Linked DNA regions of Cricetulus griseus. The protein of the gene in region 1 interacts with the protein of each later gene in a pairwise test. Links are inferred from orthologs where the notes say so. Each region holds a gene or a part of one and is shown on either strand. Other genes may lie near its edges.

Evidence for each region.
Region 2: the proteins of Mtus2 (region 1) and Plscr4 interact in binary tests that used the Homo sapiens proteins (3 or more experiments, as listed by UniProt). The two-hybrid records come from large-scale screens. The link is inferred for Cricetulus griseus from reciprocal best matches to the Homo sapiens genes MTUS2 and PLSCR4.

The regions. Positions count from the first base shown.
Region 1 is NC_048597.1:83,931,441-83,939,475, reverse strand, and holds part of Mtus2 (microtubule-associated tumor suppressor candidate 2), read right to left. Parts: intron 3,560-8,035; 5' UTR 3,339-3,559; coding exon 1,188-3,338; intron 1-1,187. UniProt on the Homo sapiens protein: Binds microtubules. Together with MAPRE1 may target the microtubule depolymerase KIF2C to the plus-end of microtubules. May regulate the dynamics of microtubules at their growing distal tip.
Region 2 is NC_048597.1:201,469,613-201,477,647, forward strand, and holds the end of Plscr4 (phospholipid scramblase 4), read left to right. Parts: intron 1-2,379; coding exon 2,380-2,541; intron 2,542-4,595; coding exon 4,596-4,754; intron 4,755-5,374; coding exon 5,375-5,422; 3' UTR 5,423-5,465; exon of another isoform or gene 5,466-6,390; 3' UTR 6,391-7,094; downstream 7,095-8,035. UniProt on the Homo sapiens protein: Catalyzes metal ion-induced ATP-independent rapid bidirectional and non-specific movement of phospholipids (lipid scrambling or lipid flip-flop) between the inner and outer leaflet of the plasma membrane and participates in the redistribution of phospholipids between membrane leaflets.

The DNA.
Region 1 (8,035 bases):
GTGCCCAGACCCACACACAGGCAAAACACTTGCACACATAAAAATAATGTAAATGGCTCCTTAAAGCTCATCTTGCTTGATGAGTTAAATGACTTTATTAGGTGTCACCCACGGAGGAGTAGACAACTATGGACAGCTATATTTTCCTCTTGTCACTAATGCTCCATTTACAAGATCACATACTATAGGGCTTATGTCAGAAGCTCTGATGCAAACCTGAATTCAGGGTGCTAGCTAGTGTTTAAGGAGCACATCTGACCCTAAAGCCATTTAGGGTGCCCATCCCTGCCTTCATCAAGGACCTTTGACAAACACTGCTAAGCTGTGGGGACGACACCTTGATTTGCAGCAGGCTGGCATGAAGAATAACTAAAGGACAGCCTGCTAAATGTGGTGCCAGTTCGATTCTCTGGTGCTTTTGATAAAATGACCAAAACCAACTTGAAGAGTAAAGGATTTATTCACCTTATATTTCAAGGTCGCAGTCCATTATGCAGGGAAGTCAGGCCAGGAACCTGGGAAGCAGGAACTGACCCTGAAGGGATGCTGCTCACTGGCTTTCTCATGGTTTGCTCATCTTGCTTTCTTACACACCCAGGACAACCAGCCCAGGTAGGGCACAGTGCACAGCAAACATACAACAAAATGGGAACCACCACTGCGGTCCTTACTACAAAGAGCCTAGCATAGTCTTTCATGTCATTATTTTTGCATATATTTAAGTAAGATTTTCTATTGTACCTTCTGACACAGGGTTACACTCAGATGCCCAGGCTGGCCTGGGACTCAGTTCTCCTTTTTTGGCTCCACAAATGCTAGGCTTGCAGGTGCACTACCGTGCAAAGCTCATCACAAGGTTTTCTCCAAAGAGAAACACTCCCCGCCAAAGGATTAGTCTGCTCAATCTGAATACTCTATTTACCTTAGCTTCTCCCTTGCTTTGGCCTCATAGACCGCTACTTGTGTATTTACACATGGAAGCTACCTTAGGTATTGGGTCCGTCTCAACCTGGCTATCACACTGTTCTAGACAGTCACTTCCAGGCACAAGTATCTTTGTAGAGATCTGTTCATGCACATGCGTAGTTCACTTACAGTGAGACACTTTTTTTTTCAAATTCCACTGGGGGAAAAAACAGACTTAAAAACACAAATGTATAGCTCATTTTACAGTGCCACCCTCTTACCTCCTGCAGAAACTTCTCACTCATCTGACTGAAATGATGCCCTGGGGGCTTGATCCCAGACACCATCAGTCCAGAGGGGAAGACCCTCGGCTTCTGCAAGTCAGGCTTGAATTTCTCATACATGTTGGCAGATGGCTGAAGGTCACGGTTCGCTGTCTTCTCCTCTTGTGGAAGAGGCATGCCACATGAAGGAGGGGCATATGGAAGCCCCACGGGGACCAGTGAGGCATCCCCCTGACCCAGTGCCTGAGGGTTCCTACGGATGTAAGTGATGATCTTGGGCCTCACATGTTTGGGCTTCGGCATAAGGACCGGCTTTGTCTCTGTCCTTTCTTCCACTTTCTCCATCTCGAGTTTCTCGGTTGCTTCCTGGGAGGAAGGTGCGTCCTTGGGATGTGAAAGAGGCTTGGGGATCCCACTGGGGCAGGTGCTCTTATCGGGCACTTTCAGGGATGTGTTCAACACCTGCCCACCATCAGTGGGTGGCAAGGCCACCAGGGTTGAGCCCGTGTCCACGCTGAACTGAGAACTGCTACCTTGAGGAGTGGGGTGGTGAGTCAAGTTCACAGTTGTCTCTGGGTGGAGGGGAGCTGAGGTGCTGAAAACTGAATCTCCTCCAGCTGGAGCGACTTCGGTTTGGGCTGCGTTTTCTAGACGGTTCCTATCTTCAGCTACAGGTGTCGCTGTCTCTCTGCCTTTTCTGGCTTCTGAGTTGCCGCTGTGCGGGCCCAAGAGCTCAGGGGCCTCAGCTCTGTTCCCTCCCACAGAGGGACCTGCGGCCAATGCCTTGGCACTGCCTCCATTCTGGCTACCCTGACTCCTCTCCTCCCTACTGACCTCAGAGGAGATGCTCTCAGTATCACGGAGAACACAAGCTATGTGGCCATCGCTGGGTGCAAAGTCGCTGGATGCTGTTTCCCTCATGGTCCTACCTAAGGCGCCTGGTGACGTTTTACCAGTGAGTCTAGTACCTCCCTCTCCAGGAGCAGTGCTCTGCGCTGGGGTGGCTTGCTGAAACCCCTCCACACCAGCACTGACTCCCATCATTTCTTCCAGGCCGCTGCCTTCTCCCACTTTAAGCTGGTGGTGGCTGCTGTTCAATTGACTGGTGGCTTCTTGATGTGTCTTCTCATGTAGCTCCTTCCTCTCCACAGGTGACATACTTTTCTCCTCGTGACATCCCAGACCCTGTGCCTGGGATGACTTTAGCCCCTGCTCATTCCTGGGTTGAAGGTATTTGCGCTCCACTTTGAGCTCCCCTGTTCCTTGGCCTACGAACACTTCCGGGTGACTGGGGCTGGGAATTTCCATCAATGCTGAAGCTGAATTGGGAGTCGATTCTGGGTGAGGGATGCACTCGCTGTAAAGGTCCAGGCCATGTGTCCCCTCCATCTTGGTGACTGATGGGATGGACCCCCTGGCTTCTGAGGTAGATGGTTTAGGAGGACATACACACCTCCCCGCTGAGGTACCCTCACCTACAGATAAGACTGTCCCTGGAGTGTGACCAGCCAATGTCCCCTGTGGCCCCTCCCCACGCCCAGGCACAAGGCCCTGTGGCTCTGAGGTGTCCAGCCGCATGGGCTGCAAATTCTCCCAAATGAGACTGCCAGCTGAAGCTGCTGAGCTGCTGGCTCTTTTCAGCTCTTCATTGTCAAGGGTCTTTGCCAACTTGTCCTTGGGAATGTGTCGGGGAACTTCAGCATCCCTTTTAGCTGAACCCTCTAGACTGGCCTGACCCACTGCATTCCTCCAACTGGCTAGACCTGGTCCCTGGACACTCTGGGGGGTCTGCAGGATAGCTCTTTTCACTGTGTGTTCTTCACTCGGTTGTCTATGAACAACCAGAGAAGGATGAAAATCCCTCTGGCTGGTGGAGGCAGCCTGAGCCCCTTTCCCAAAGCCCTGAGGTTGAGGGGGCTGCTTCTGGGAGTGGCTGTGGTACTGTGGCCTGCTCACATTTGCATTTCCAATTTCATCATCCAGATCACGTGTCCTGGGCTCATCATTCGGGGAGCTGACCTCCAACATGATTTGATTGGCATTTGTATCTCCCATGCTTAGAATGCTCTCGTTATTGTTTTTTGCCCGATCTTGGTGCTCTCGCAACTGACTGAAACAGTGTTTCTTTGGAGCCAGTGGGATACTCATGGTCACCTCTTCAGTGAGGGCTGCTGGCCATGCAGTCCCCCTTCAAACTGCAGGGCAACAGGCAGCTGTCTTGTTGCCTGTCCTCCTGTGACAATGGCACATCTAGACACTACTTTGAACCTCTTCAGACAAGTTTCAGAACCAACCATTGTCTTGACACGCAGCGAAACAACTCACGATGCTCCATTGCTGCTCAGTGAAAACCAGTTAGTCGATGAGACCTGTGAAGAAATGAAAACACCGTCATTTTAGAATGAAGACAACAATAACCATGAGTAAGAGACACATGCGAGAGCTAGCAGTGGTGGCGCTCGCCTTTAATCCCGACACTTGGGAAGCAGAGACAGGTGGGTCTCTGTGAGTTCTGAGACCAGCCTGGTCTACAGAGTGAGTTCCAGGACAGCCAGGGCTGTTATAACAGAGAAACCCTGTCTCAAACAATAACAAAAGACAAACAAACAAACAACATCATCACCAGAAGGGTGAGCATAACACAAGTCATTTGGGGAAGAAAAGAAAAATCCTATGCAGATGATTTTCATCACAGTGCATTGTTATGACTGCTCTGTTTTATTGCAAATTATTTGCTAACCTCTTGCTGGGCCAAATGTATAAGGCACACTTTATCATAGGTCTGTCTGTGTAGGGGAAAGGTACCACCTGTAAATCCAAGCATCCCAGGGATCTTGAACTGCATCCTCACCAATGAAGGTAGATCACAATACACACAGCTGAGAACCGTGAGCCCAGCATGCTTTCCCTTACTGTAGTGTCTCTCTCCATCTCACCCCTAACTTCCTAACATCTAACCCTAGCATCCTTGCAAATTCTGAGATACATCTCTCCTTCCTGTTCATTTCTTTTCCACCTGTACATACATGTTTTTCCACCTAAATGGAGTCCTTTTGTATAATCTGACCCTTAGTCAGTTTTGTTTTCTTATGTGTGCCTTCCCATCTTCACCCTAGGACATACTATCACAACTGTGTCTGCTCTGCATGTCCTGGGAATGTAGACTCTTGTGAACATAGCCTCCATCACTTGCTGCCATGCTGATCTTGTACTCCTCCCACACCTCCCTCATGGTCCCTGTTTCTCCCCCCCCACCCCCCCCCCGCATGCCAGTAGCATCCTGAGGTACAGCCTGGCCTCAATACAATCCCTAACTGAGGGACTGAGCCTAACACAGGAAAGTTGTGCCAAAATTGCCATTTCGTTCTTGTTTCCATTTTGAGAATACATTTGTCTTCCAGGCAAAAAACTAACAACATCTAAGCAGATTCATGGGACAGCCATTTAAAAAGAAGCTAAACTCTCCAGGCTGGGATGTGAGTATCCCAACGAGCCAAGAAATTCACAAGCATGGCCATCCACAGAAGGGCACCATCTCTGACTCCCTAGAGATGCAAGCAAGTACAGACACAAAGCCAAGAGCTCTCTTGGTCTGAATCTCATGAAGAAACAAAACCAGAACATCAGAAACCATGAGGAACAATGGGATTTCTAGAAAGTGACAAACGCCCATAAAACAGTGTCTTGCTAGAGAAAGCTGTGTTGTTTGTTTGGTTGGTTTTGTTTTTGTCTTTTTTTAAAACATATTTCTTTTACTTGATATGTATGGGTGTTTTACCTGTATGTACGCCTGTGCACCATGTGCATGTAGTACCCTCAGAGGCCAGAGGGGGCATCAGATCCCTTAGAACTGGAGTTATAGATGGTTTTGAGCAGCCATGTCAATGCTGGGAATTAAACCTGAGTCCTCTGCAAGAGCAGCCAGGGCTCTCAACAGCTGAGTCATCTACCTCTCCAGTCCAACACTGAAGATTTTTTAACAACATCATTAGCATTTAATAAGACCACTGTAACATAGGCTTCCATTCTTGGCCAAAATGTCCCTACAGAGGACACAGGTGTAATGGGTCCATGAGGTTCTTCTATCTGTGCCCATCTCTCATCACTGGGCAGGCTCAGCTGTCTCAAGTTCACCAGCTCTGTAAATAGTTGGGCACCTTATCTAGAAGCTTCTTTGGTTAATGGCATATCTACTTTTGAATCATGAAATGTATTGATGTCATCTGGACACTTACACACAATCTCTTTATCCATCTTAGAGTCCAGGTTCCCGTGAGCTATGTTTGTTCCAACAATGTATCATTAAAGTCACTCTCACACAATGAGAAACTCAACAGATCCAACCCTGTGTCATCCTCGTCACCCTGAGTCACCTGACTGAAAGACAGGCTAGAGTCAGAGGTTCTCAGCTTGACACCTGGGCTCCGATGATCCTTCTGTGGTTAAAGACTCAAATATTTGTACAATTCTACTTCAAACACGACTGTCCTGCTAAATTACACTTCCTACCAACATCATCAAAATCCAGCCCAAGCCCACTTCTCCCACAAAACTTCCCTAAACTCTTTCCTCCTCAAAAAGCTGCTACATGAGAGTTTACGTGTTGTTTCTTAAGTCCTGAGTCTGCACATCTCTCCTGTGGGCCAGCCCAACCACACTTTTATCACAGCCATGGTTTTCTTTTCTTTCCTTTTCTTTTCTTTTTCTTTTTTTTTCTTTTTTTTTTTTTTTTGCTTCCAACCAAAGTCTTCCCTCCCTCCACTCCTCCCCCACCTGTCCTCTATCTCCCCCATCCACTCCTCCTCCACTGTTTCTCTTCAGATACAGGTGGCCCTCCTATGGATATCAGCCATTCAAGGTATAGCAAGCTTCAGGTAGACTAGGCTCCTCCTCTTCTTTTAAGGCTGGATGAGGTCTAGGAGAAAGGGTCCCAAACACAGGTATTGGAGTCAGAGACAGCCCCTGCTCTCACTATTAGGAGTCTCACAAGACCACCACATTCCACAGCTGTCACCTATATCAAGAGCACCTAGGTCAGTCCCATGCAGGCTCCCTGGTTGTCAGTTCAGTCTCTGTGAGCTCCTATGAGCCTAGGTTAGCTGACTCTGTGGGTTTTCTTGGGGTGTCTTTGACCCTTTTCACAACCATGTTCTTGAATTTACTATCTACCAACTTTCGTACATACTCAAATCTGAGAATGTGTAGTGCTGGCATAGAATGTACGCACACCTTCCTTTATACATTCAAATGCCTCTAGGTCACTTACAATCACTAATATAAAGCAAATACTTGGCATTTTATAATGTTTGGGAACAGTGATGAGAAAAGTTGATGTGTTTCCAGCAGAGGTGTGATTTTTAAATATTTTCTGTGGTTGTTTGAGCCCATAAATGTGGAGCCCCAGAGACTGGGGGGGGGGGGGACTGTTGTACATTTAATTTTATAGCAGTTAAATGTGCTTCGCATTAAGCTGTGTGTCTTACTCATTTTAGGAGACCACAAGCTTACTACATTAATGGTTCAGGAGTCTCTGTCCCCCTGTGGCTTTTGGAACAGCTTTCTGCAGCATAGATATGCCAGATGAAGTGACCCAACTGGATCCCAACTTGAGCTCAGAATAGTGAACACTCACTACCCTCAGGTTATCAAGGATTCTAATTTTTTCACTTGTGTAATGGTTGGTTGAAATGCTAAAGTAGCTCTTCTAGATGAAGAACTGGCTACCCCATCCCCAGGGCTGAATCAAGAGAAAGCATGAGAAAACTACATTCTGGAGTTGAAGAGATGATTCAATGGTTGAGTACTTGATGCTCTTAGAGAACCCAGGTTCAATCCCAGCACCCGAGTGGTGGCTCACATTGTCTCTACCGCCAGTTCCAGGGGGGATCTGATGCCCTCTTCTGGCCTCCATGGGTACTGAAAGCATATGGTTCACAGACACAGGCAGACAAAATATCCACACACATTAAATAATAAAAATGATATTTCTAAAAATTAAAGAAAAACAACATTCCGATTGCCATGTATAGCTGTTACGTCCATTTGTTTCCCTTTTTAAGTAAAGCTGGAGAGATTTTCATATCACTAACAGGAAAATGGCTTTTCAAAGATTAAAACTTATGCTTACAGTCTCCCTGAACTATCAAGACTACTGTGTAAGGCTATGAGTTTTCGTATACATATTCAAACACTGTACCTTTGCATGCACCGCCTAGTTCAGTGAACACAGCAACATATTCCCCTTCAGAAGAATTTCAGTAGGGTAACCATGTGAAGAGTCAAAAGTCAAAAGTTCCAAGCTTAAACTTTGGTAGATAACTTTCCTGAGCAAATATCTGGTATCTGCAATATTCAGTTAAATTTAATGATGTAATTTTATATGTACTTACCCGTGGTGATTGCTTATAAACCCACCTGTTCCTCTGCCTTAGCAAACTGTTACAAAAAGGTAACAGTTGTAGTTATTCAGATTCTTGGCCCTATTTTATAGTGTTTCATACATTAAAACAGCCTTTATTCAAAATGCTTGGTGAAAGAAGTGTTTCAAAATGTGCACTTTTTCCAGATTTGGATATATATACTGAAATGCCACAGGATCCGACCCAAGTTTAAATACAATATTCATTTATATTTAGCCTGCACCTTTTATATATTACTTAAAGGCAATGTCACATAGTGTCTTTAATGCATATTCATTTTTACTGCAATCTATTCACATGGTCAGGAAGTGACATGTTTTGCTTGTGAAATCATATCAGCACCCAAAATATTTGAGGTTTGTGGGCCAGCAGGATGGGTAAAAGTGATGGTTGATCAAAGACTTGAGTTTAATTTCAAGAACCCAC
Region 2 (8,035 bases), about 120 Mb from region 1:
ACCTATCTAGTCTCATGGTCTTGGACATTTAGATCCCTGAAATGGATCACAAAGTATGATCTTCTTTACAGGTTCTTGAATTCAGCTTCCAATATTTTACTGGTGGTTTCTGTCTGTTGAGCAGGAGAGTTGCTCTGTAGTTTCCTTTTATGTTCTGCCTTTATTTGGTTGTGGTACCAGGGTACTACCATTGCTCAATCAATTTGATGGTTTCATTTACTCTCTATTTTGAAAAATAGTTTAAGACATTAACTAGTCCTTGAAAGTTCAGTAGAATTTAACTCTGCATCTGTCCAGTCCTAGACTTTTCTTTAGTAAGAAGATGGAGTAGTGACTGCTTTAATCTCATTGCTTGTCTGCATAAATTATGTATATCTTCCGGATTTAATTTTGACAGGCCATGTATTTAGCTGCTTGGAAAGTTTTCCTATCATTGCCAAAGTGTACTTCTGGATTACATTGGATTTTGTTTTGGACATCTCTCTTGTCTCTAATTTTATTAATTTATGACCTCTTTTTATTTTGGTTCATATAGTTAGGGATTTTTCAAACTTGCTTTTCTTTTCAAAAAAGAAAATATTTTAGTTGATTCTGTGTCTCCTTTTAGTCCCTATTTCATCAATCTCTACATTAATCTGTATGATTACTTGCTATTTGCTTCACTTTGGATTTGACTTCCTGTTGATTTTTTAGAATTTTGAGTGGATCATTTGATTTTTAATGCAAGCTCTCCCAGCTGTAATATTTCCCTTAGAACTTCCCTGTCTGTGTCCTGGTGGTCTGAGAAGCTTTGTTGATGTTTTAGTTTGAATCTATTACTGTTTCAATTTTTCCCTTGATTTCTTCACTGATTCAGTATTCATTGAAAATGTGCAAATATTTGTATAATTTCTATAATTTTCCTTATTGTTGGTTCTAGTTTTATTCTTTTGTGACCTGACAGAATATAAGGAATTGATGTAATTCTGTTTATAAGGAATTGTTTCAATTCTCTTGTCATTGTTGAGCCTTGCTTTATGGTCTTACAGTGTCACCAATTTTAAAGTTTTGGTTCTAGGGAACTATCAAATTCAATGTTTTGTATAGTTACAAATTTGTATATATGAACAATGGCTCTGGCAATGCAAGTCCTGACAGCTTTGATAAAATTTTAATGCATGGGTAATTAAGTACAACAGCACAGTGTACAATGTTTTAAAAATCTTTAATAAAGTGCTATTGTCTACCTCCACATGCAAGCTTTTAACTGTTATAGCAAGCAGCTCCCCCACTTCCATCAGCAGTTTTACTTTTTGTGGTTTGGTTACTATAGACAAATATAGTCTGAAATATTAATAACAAGTTCCAGAAATAAACAATTCATACGCTGAATAATGTGGTGAATTCTGGATCTTGATTTATTGTTTTGTGCAGAGTATCCAAGGTATAACTGCATACACACAGAGGCAGTTGAAAGACTACATTCATATAATTTCTATTGTAGGACAGAGTATTGTAGCTATTCTATAGCTAATGGTTCTTGTTGGTACTGTACTGCAACCAAATGATAAATAACTTTGCTGTAGGTGGAGTTTAATGACTATAGGCATGTGTTTATTGTAAAGTATGCTATATTTTGGGTTCAGAACTATCCCTATTTAAGACATCAACCAATGTCTTGGAATGCATTCCCATCAAATGGGGAATACTTTCATACAAATTTCACAGTGCTTCTTTCTCCTTTGTTTTTTTTATTTGTTGTAGTTGTCATGTAGATTTAGTTTTGCTGGGTCTGATTTATTAAGTTAACTACTCCTATTATACATGAAACTCCTAAATGAAACAAAGGCTGTTATTACATTTTTTCTGTTTTCTTTTTTTTCAAGACAGGGTTTCTCTGTGTAGCCCTGGATGTCCTGGAACTCTCTCTGTAGACCAAGCTGACCTCAAACTCACAGAGATCCACCTGCCTTTGCCTCCTAAGAGCTGGGATTAAAGGCGGGCACCACTACTGCCTGCTCAAAGGCCTTTATTACAGCACAGCATCATGAATGCCAGTACATTCATGTAAGGTCCTCTCTGCCTCAGGTCCTTCAGGATTGACTGTGTGACAATGCTGTATGTCCTGTTAGGAACACTGGTGGAATCTTACATCAAGCAGTTGAGCAGTTATTCGTTAAGCCTTTTCTTTGTCCCACAGTAAAACATGACCTCGTCTCTTTAGAGTCCTCTTGGAAATACAACCCTGCAAATGGCCCCAGGGAAACATGAGTCTGTCCCTAACATAAATTCCCCCTTGCCCTAGAATGACCAAGAGCATGTTCAGGTGTGTGCACATGAGTGGCATAGTTATGCATTGTACAATACAACATCATAACTTCTGTTACTTTTCATATGCAGCTGGAAGTGCAGTGTCCTCCTGGTGTCACCATTGGATTTGTTGCAGAACACTGGAACTTATGCAGAGCCACTTACAGCATCCAAAATCAGAAGAAAGAGAATGTGATGAGAGTGCGTGGTCCATGTGCAACCTATGGCTGTGGTTCAGATTCCGTTTTTGAGGTAGATATATATATATATATAATATATATATATATATATTATATATATATATATAGAGAGAGAGAGAGAGAGAGAGAGATATCTATCTATCTCTCTCTCTCTCTCTCTCTCTCTATATATATATATATATATATATATATAGAAATTTTGCTTCTACATTTTCCATTATGACCTCAAACCATTCTTCTTGTCTTAACCAGTTTTTCACATGAATGAGTCAAATGGTATGAAGAAAGAGTTAATTGCAAGTGTTCACTTGGTTTCTCATGGTTACTTGATATTTTCCACAATGTGAGTGGCGCTGCCTTTTTAAAACATTTTTTTTCCAATTTAGAACATTAAACTTTTGGGAGTAAACAGCCTGATTGGATCAATAATTGAATATATATATATATATATATTTCTCCCCAATGATTTCTAAAATGGGAATATAGGTTTTATATGTAAAAATCTAGCAAACCCCAGTACTTAAGGAATTCATAAGGGCATGGATATAATGAATGACTGGGTTGTATTATAATATTTTCTCAAAACAGAGTGGTCTAATAAAGAAAAGGGATACCAGCCTACAGGATACAACCCTAGAGAACCTAGGTAACAAAGAAGACCCTGAGAGAGACATCTGCCTAGGAAGGGGGGAATACAGATCTCCTGAGTAAACTGGGAATGTGGGGGAGCAGGGAATAGGGTGGAAGGGCAGAGAGGAGGAGGGTAGGGGAATGGAGAAAATGCATAGCTCAATTTAAAATTTTTTTCATAAAAGGAAAAATATGTGAAAAAATTAAAAAGAGTGGTTTTGTGTTTGTTTGTTTGTTTGTTTGTTTGTTTGTTCTTGCCTTTTGCATTTTTCCCAGGGACTGCCAAAGAAATTGTTAAAATAAAAGTCTTGAGGTTTGGGAGGGTTTCTCAAAGCCTTTTAACAGGATGAGGCTTGACATACACTAAACTTATTCCCTCTCCTGCTTCCTATGACACAAAAAGCTTTCTAGCTTTTATTTTATGTCATCATGTAATGAAACATGCCTCACTTATTAAGAGTCAAGACTGGACAGGTGAAACCCACAGAAACAGCTGACCTGAACAAGGGGGAGCCCATGGACCCCAGACTGCTGTCTGGGTGGCTAGCACAGAACTGATCCAGACCCCTGAACATTGATGTCAATGAGGAGGCCTCAGCACTCTATGGGGCCCCTGGTAGTAGATCAGTATTTATCCCTGGCCGAAGAAAGGACTTTGGGAGCCCATTCCATGTGGAGGGATGCTTTCTCAGCCTGGACACATTGGGGAGGGCCTAGGCCCTCCCAAGATGGTATGACAGACTTTGGGGATCCCCATGGAGGGCCTTACCCCCCTGGGGAGCAGAGGGGGGATGGTGTAGGGAGCTGGTGGGGGAAGAGGGGAGGGAGAGGGAGAAGGGATTAACATGTGAAACAGGCTTGTTTCTAATTTGAACTAAAAAAAAAATTCTTTGGAAAAAAAAAAGTTGTATAGAAAATGTCAGCAAACCAGATTTCCAGTGCAGATTGTGTGTGATCATTTCATTACAGAGGGACTTTAGAAGCTATGTATGAGGTATTTCTACTGTCAAATGTCAGGGCCCCTCTTTTAGAAGTTGGAACCCATTCTTATACATAGATACACTCAGAAGGGTAGATTTGGCCCACAGGGGCTTGAGTGGTGTTCACTGTATAGTATTACCCCTTAGTTTTGTTTGGAGGTTTCCTTGGTTGGAAATGGTTTCCCATCCCCAAATTATCACCCTCTGCTACGTAAATGAATTTAATCATCAATACAAACCATACCTTCTGACAAAGTCCCCAGAAGATGTATTTAAGAGTGAGGAAAAGTCACAAGACTGAGGGTTTTAAGATACATCCCAGCTCAGTTACACAAAGTTTCAGGACACTTAATCTTAGGGGTCCTCATTTGAAATTATGTCATTAGTGTTTTTTCCGGTATTCTATATTATCATATCACAAACTGCTTCTAAGAAGACATACACATGTCCCTTTATGCTTTTCAGCCATCCTAAAGTCCCACTCTTGGCATTGCAGGTCAACTCTCTAGATGGAGCATCTAACATCGGCAGTATTATCAGAAAGTGGAATGGCTTTCTATCAACAATGGGAGATGCTGACCACTTTGAGATTCGCTTCCCTTTGGACCTGGATGTGACGATGAAAGCGATGATTTTCGGCACTTGCTTCCTCATTGTAAGCCTTACACTGTGGGCCCATTTCTTCTGATGAGCAGTATTTTTTAGAAGAAAATTCATTTTGAAACTTAGCTAGCTTCTGTCTGTGCCACCTCTAGGCACAGGTTGGCACTTGGTACCTAGATTTACTCATTTGTAGCAGGGAGAAAAATAATGGCATTGCAGAGTGACGAATCTTAACTGGGTAAAGGCTGCTGGACACACCTGGAAGGTGTCATACAGACAGTGGACGCAGTAATCATCATTTCCTATTAGTTATTTTCTCACTACTTCAAAACAGCTGTCCCATGATAATTAATGTAATAAAATAACTACAGAGCAGCTGCCCCTTTCCTCTTTCCAGTCAACTGCAATCATGCTCATTAGTGTTACATCATCCTAAGTTTTACTAAGGTTCTCCTTCAGTTAATGATAAAAATGCTCACTATGAAAAGCATATGATCCACTTGCATTCTCATACATTAGTCGTGCTCATGAATGTTTTAGATTTATTTTTTTTTACTGGAATACGATGCTCTCATGATAAATTACAAAGGAAATATATTATATGCATTAATATAATTATTTCTATCTGTCATTCATTTCTCAATCTAAATATAATACCCTTTCCAATTTCAGGACTTCATGTACTTTGAAAGGACTCCTACACGGCGTTCATCAAGATAGAGGGATCAAGCAAAGAACCAGTTGAAAACAAAATTAGAGAAATGTGCGTTGGGCTCACAGCCAGCCTTCAGTTATTTGCAAGTATCTTTATCTGGCTTGAACATTGCTTTCACTGGTATAAGTTCAAAGATGCAGTCAGGACACATGTCCCAGTCGAGTATTTGGATTCTTGGGACACTATTAGCCAAGTAAACATAAACAGTGCAAGCAATAAACAAACAGCACATGAGCTATGGAAAAATGAAGCCCTTAGTTCTCAACTTAACAGGCAGTAACACATCTTCTGTGTCTGTCTGTCCCTCTCTTCTTTGTCAAGAGGGCAAACTTGATTCCAGGTGACAGGACTTTCACAATTAATCGTCGTCTTTAGGACTCAAAAGGCACACAGAAATAACGTGCTTTAACAAGCAAAGAAAATACTTCTTGTGGGCATGTATCAGAAGTGTGTTCTGCAACATTCATAAAAGTTCATGAAGTTCTCTGTGGGGAATTTGACTTTATTACAAAAGAAAGTGTGTTTTATGCTTCAGTTTTTACTTGCCACAAGTATGTCTTCATCTCTTCAGCTGCATAATTTGAAGCTAACTATTCATGAAGGCAGGATGAGGCTACTAGGGAAAGTTGGCCAGAGCCACAACCAAATAAGATCTTCACATCTTAGGGCTTTGGTGCTTGAGTACTAACTTTGGACATTTACTTACTTGGCACATTTAGCATCACAGACACTTTCGATCTGAATTTTTATCCAGAAGTCTAGGATTATGTATTGTATCTTTGTATCTCACATGACACTTTTTCAAAACCAGTCTAATGACCAGGATGTTTATAATGACAAACAGTTTATAAAAACTGAATGTATAAATCTTATCATTGTTTACCATTGCTTTACTGCATTCCATGTCAAACAACTCTTTACAAACAAACAATAGGAAAACACAGTAAATATGTTGCCTTCAAATTCTCCCCAGATTGTCAACGAACACTATGGAGGATCAGCTGAGCACTTGTATGTACCAAGGATGGTGTATGTGTGAATATAATAATTAGTGAGTCTCTCATCTTGGCACGTGGACTGTGTTCTTTCATGGATGTATTCTTTTAGAGCTTATTTAATGAAGATTAAATGTTCTTAGGTTGGGTTATCCTGAGAGAAGAGTCTTAGCTGATAGCTCTTTTTGAAATAAATGACAGGTGCTTCACTTTTACTTATACTAACCTTTTTATGATAAAGATTGTTTTACTACATTATTTGTAAAAATTCTTTACTTGCCATTGTTCATTTTTATAAAAAATTAAGATATATGAACTGTTTTCTAAAATAATAAATACCTTATATTTTAAAATGCAACTCAAATAGTAACTAGACACACCTGCTTTCTGTAGTACTTACTTATATATTGCATATAAACCAGATTAAGAGAGCTTGTGTATGAACTTGTCATTTTACCCACCCTGGCCTTACATTGATAGTGCAGGTCAGGTACTTTACATTTCTGTTGCATATTTTAGTGTTTGTGATACTAATATATCTCTAACTGAAAATTCCTTAATATAATAAGGTGTCATATTTTAATGTAATGTAATTTGTGCAATTCCTGTATCTCATAATGGAATTTATTGTATGAAATTAACCACCTTAACTAAAAAGATAAACAAAACTTTTTTCATTTTATTCTTTTTTATTTTAATTAGAAAAAAAAATTTTACATGTCAACCCCAGGTCCTTCTCCCTCCCCTTCTCCCCTGCCCCCCCCCAACTAACACCCTATCTATCCCATACCCTTTCTGCTCCCCAGCGAAGGTAAGGCCTTCCATGGGGGTCTTCAAAATCTGTCTTATTCTTTGGGATAGGGCCTAGGTAAACCGCCTTGTGTCTAGGCTCAGGGAGTATCCCTCCATGTGGGATGGGCTCCCAAAGTTCATTCCTATGCTAGGGATAAGTATTGATCCACTACAAGAGGTCCCATAGATTTCCAAGATCTCCTCACTGACACCTACATTCAGGGGGTCTGGATTAGTCCCGTGCTGGTTTCCCAGCTATCAGTCTGGGGACCAAGGGCTCTCCCTTGTCAGGTCAGCTGTTTCTGTGGGTTTCACCAGCCTGGTATGGACCCCTTTGCTCAACAGTCCTCCTTCTCTGCAACTGGATTTCAGTTTAGTTCAGTGTTTAGCTGTGGGTGTCTGCTTCTACTTCCACCAGCTGCTGGGTGAAGGCTATACAATGGCATATGAATTAGTCATCAATCTCATTATCAGGAGAGGGCATTTAAGGTAGCCTCTACTCTGTTGCTTAGATTGTTAGTTGGTGTCATCTTTGTAGCTCTCCAGACATTTCCCTAGTGCCTGATTTCTCTTTAAACCTATAATGTCTTCTATTATATTATCGCTCATCTTGCTCTCTTCTGTTCTTCCCCCAAGTCAACCTCCCTGCCCCATCATGTCTTCCTCACCCCTCCTCTTCTCCCCTTCTCATTCTCCTAATTTCCTCTTCCCTGCCCCCATGCTCCAGATTTGCTCAGGAGATCTTGAACAGAACTTAAAAAAAAAAAAAGTTGAGTATTTTCTTGTGCCCTTAGGTTTCTTCGACCTATAAATAAATATGTAATGAAACTA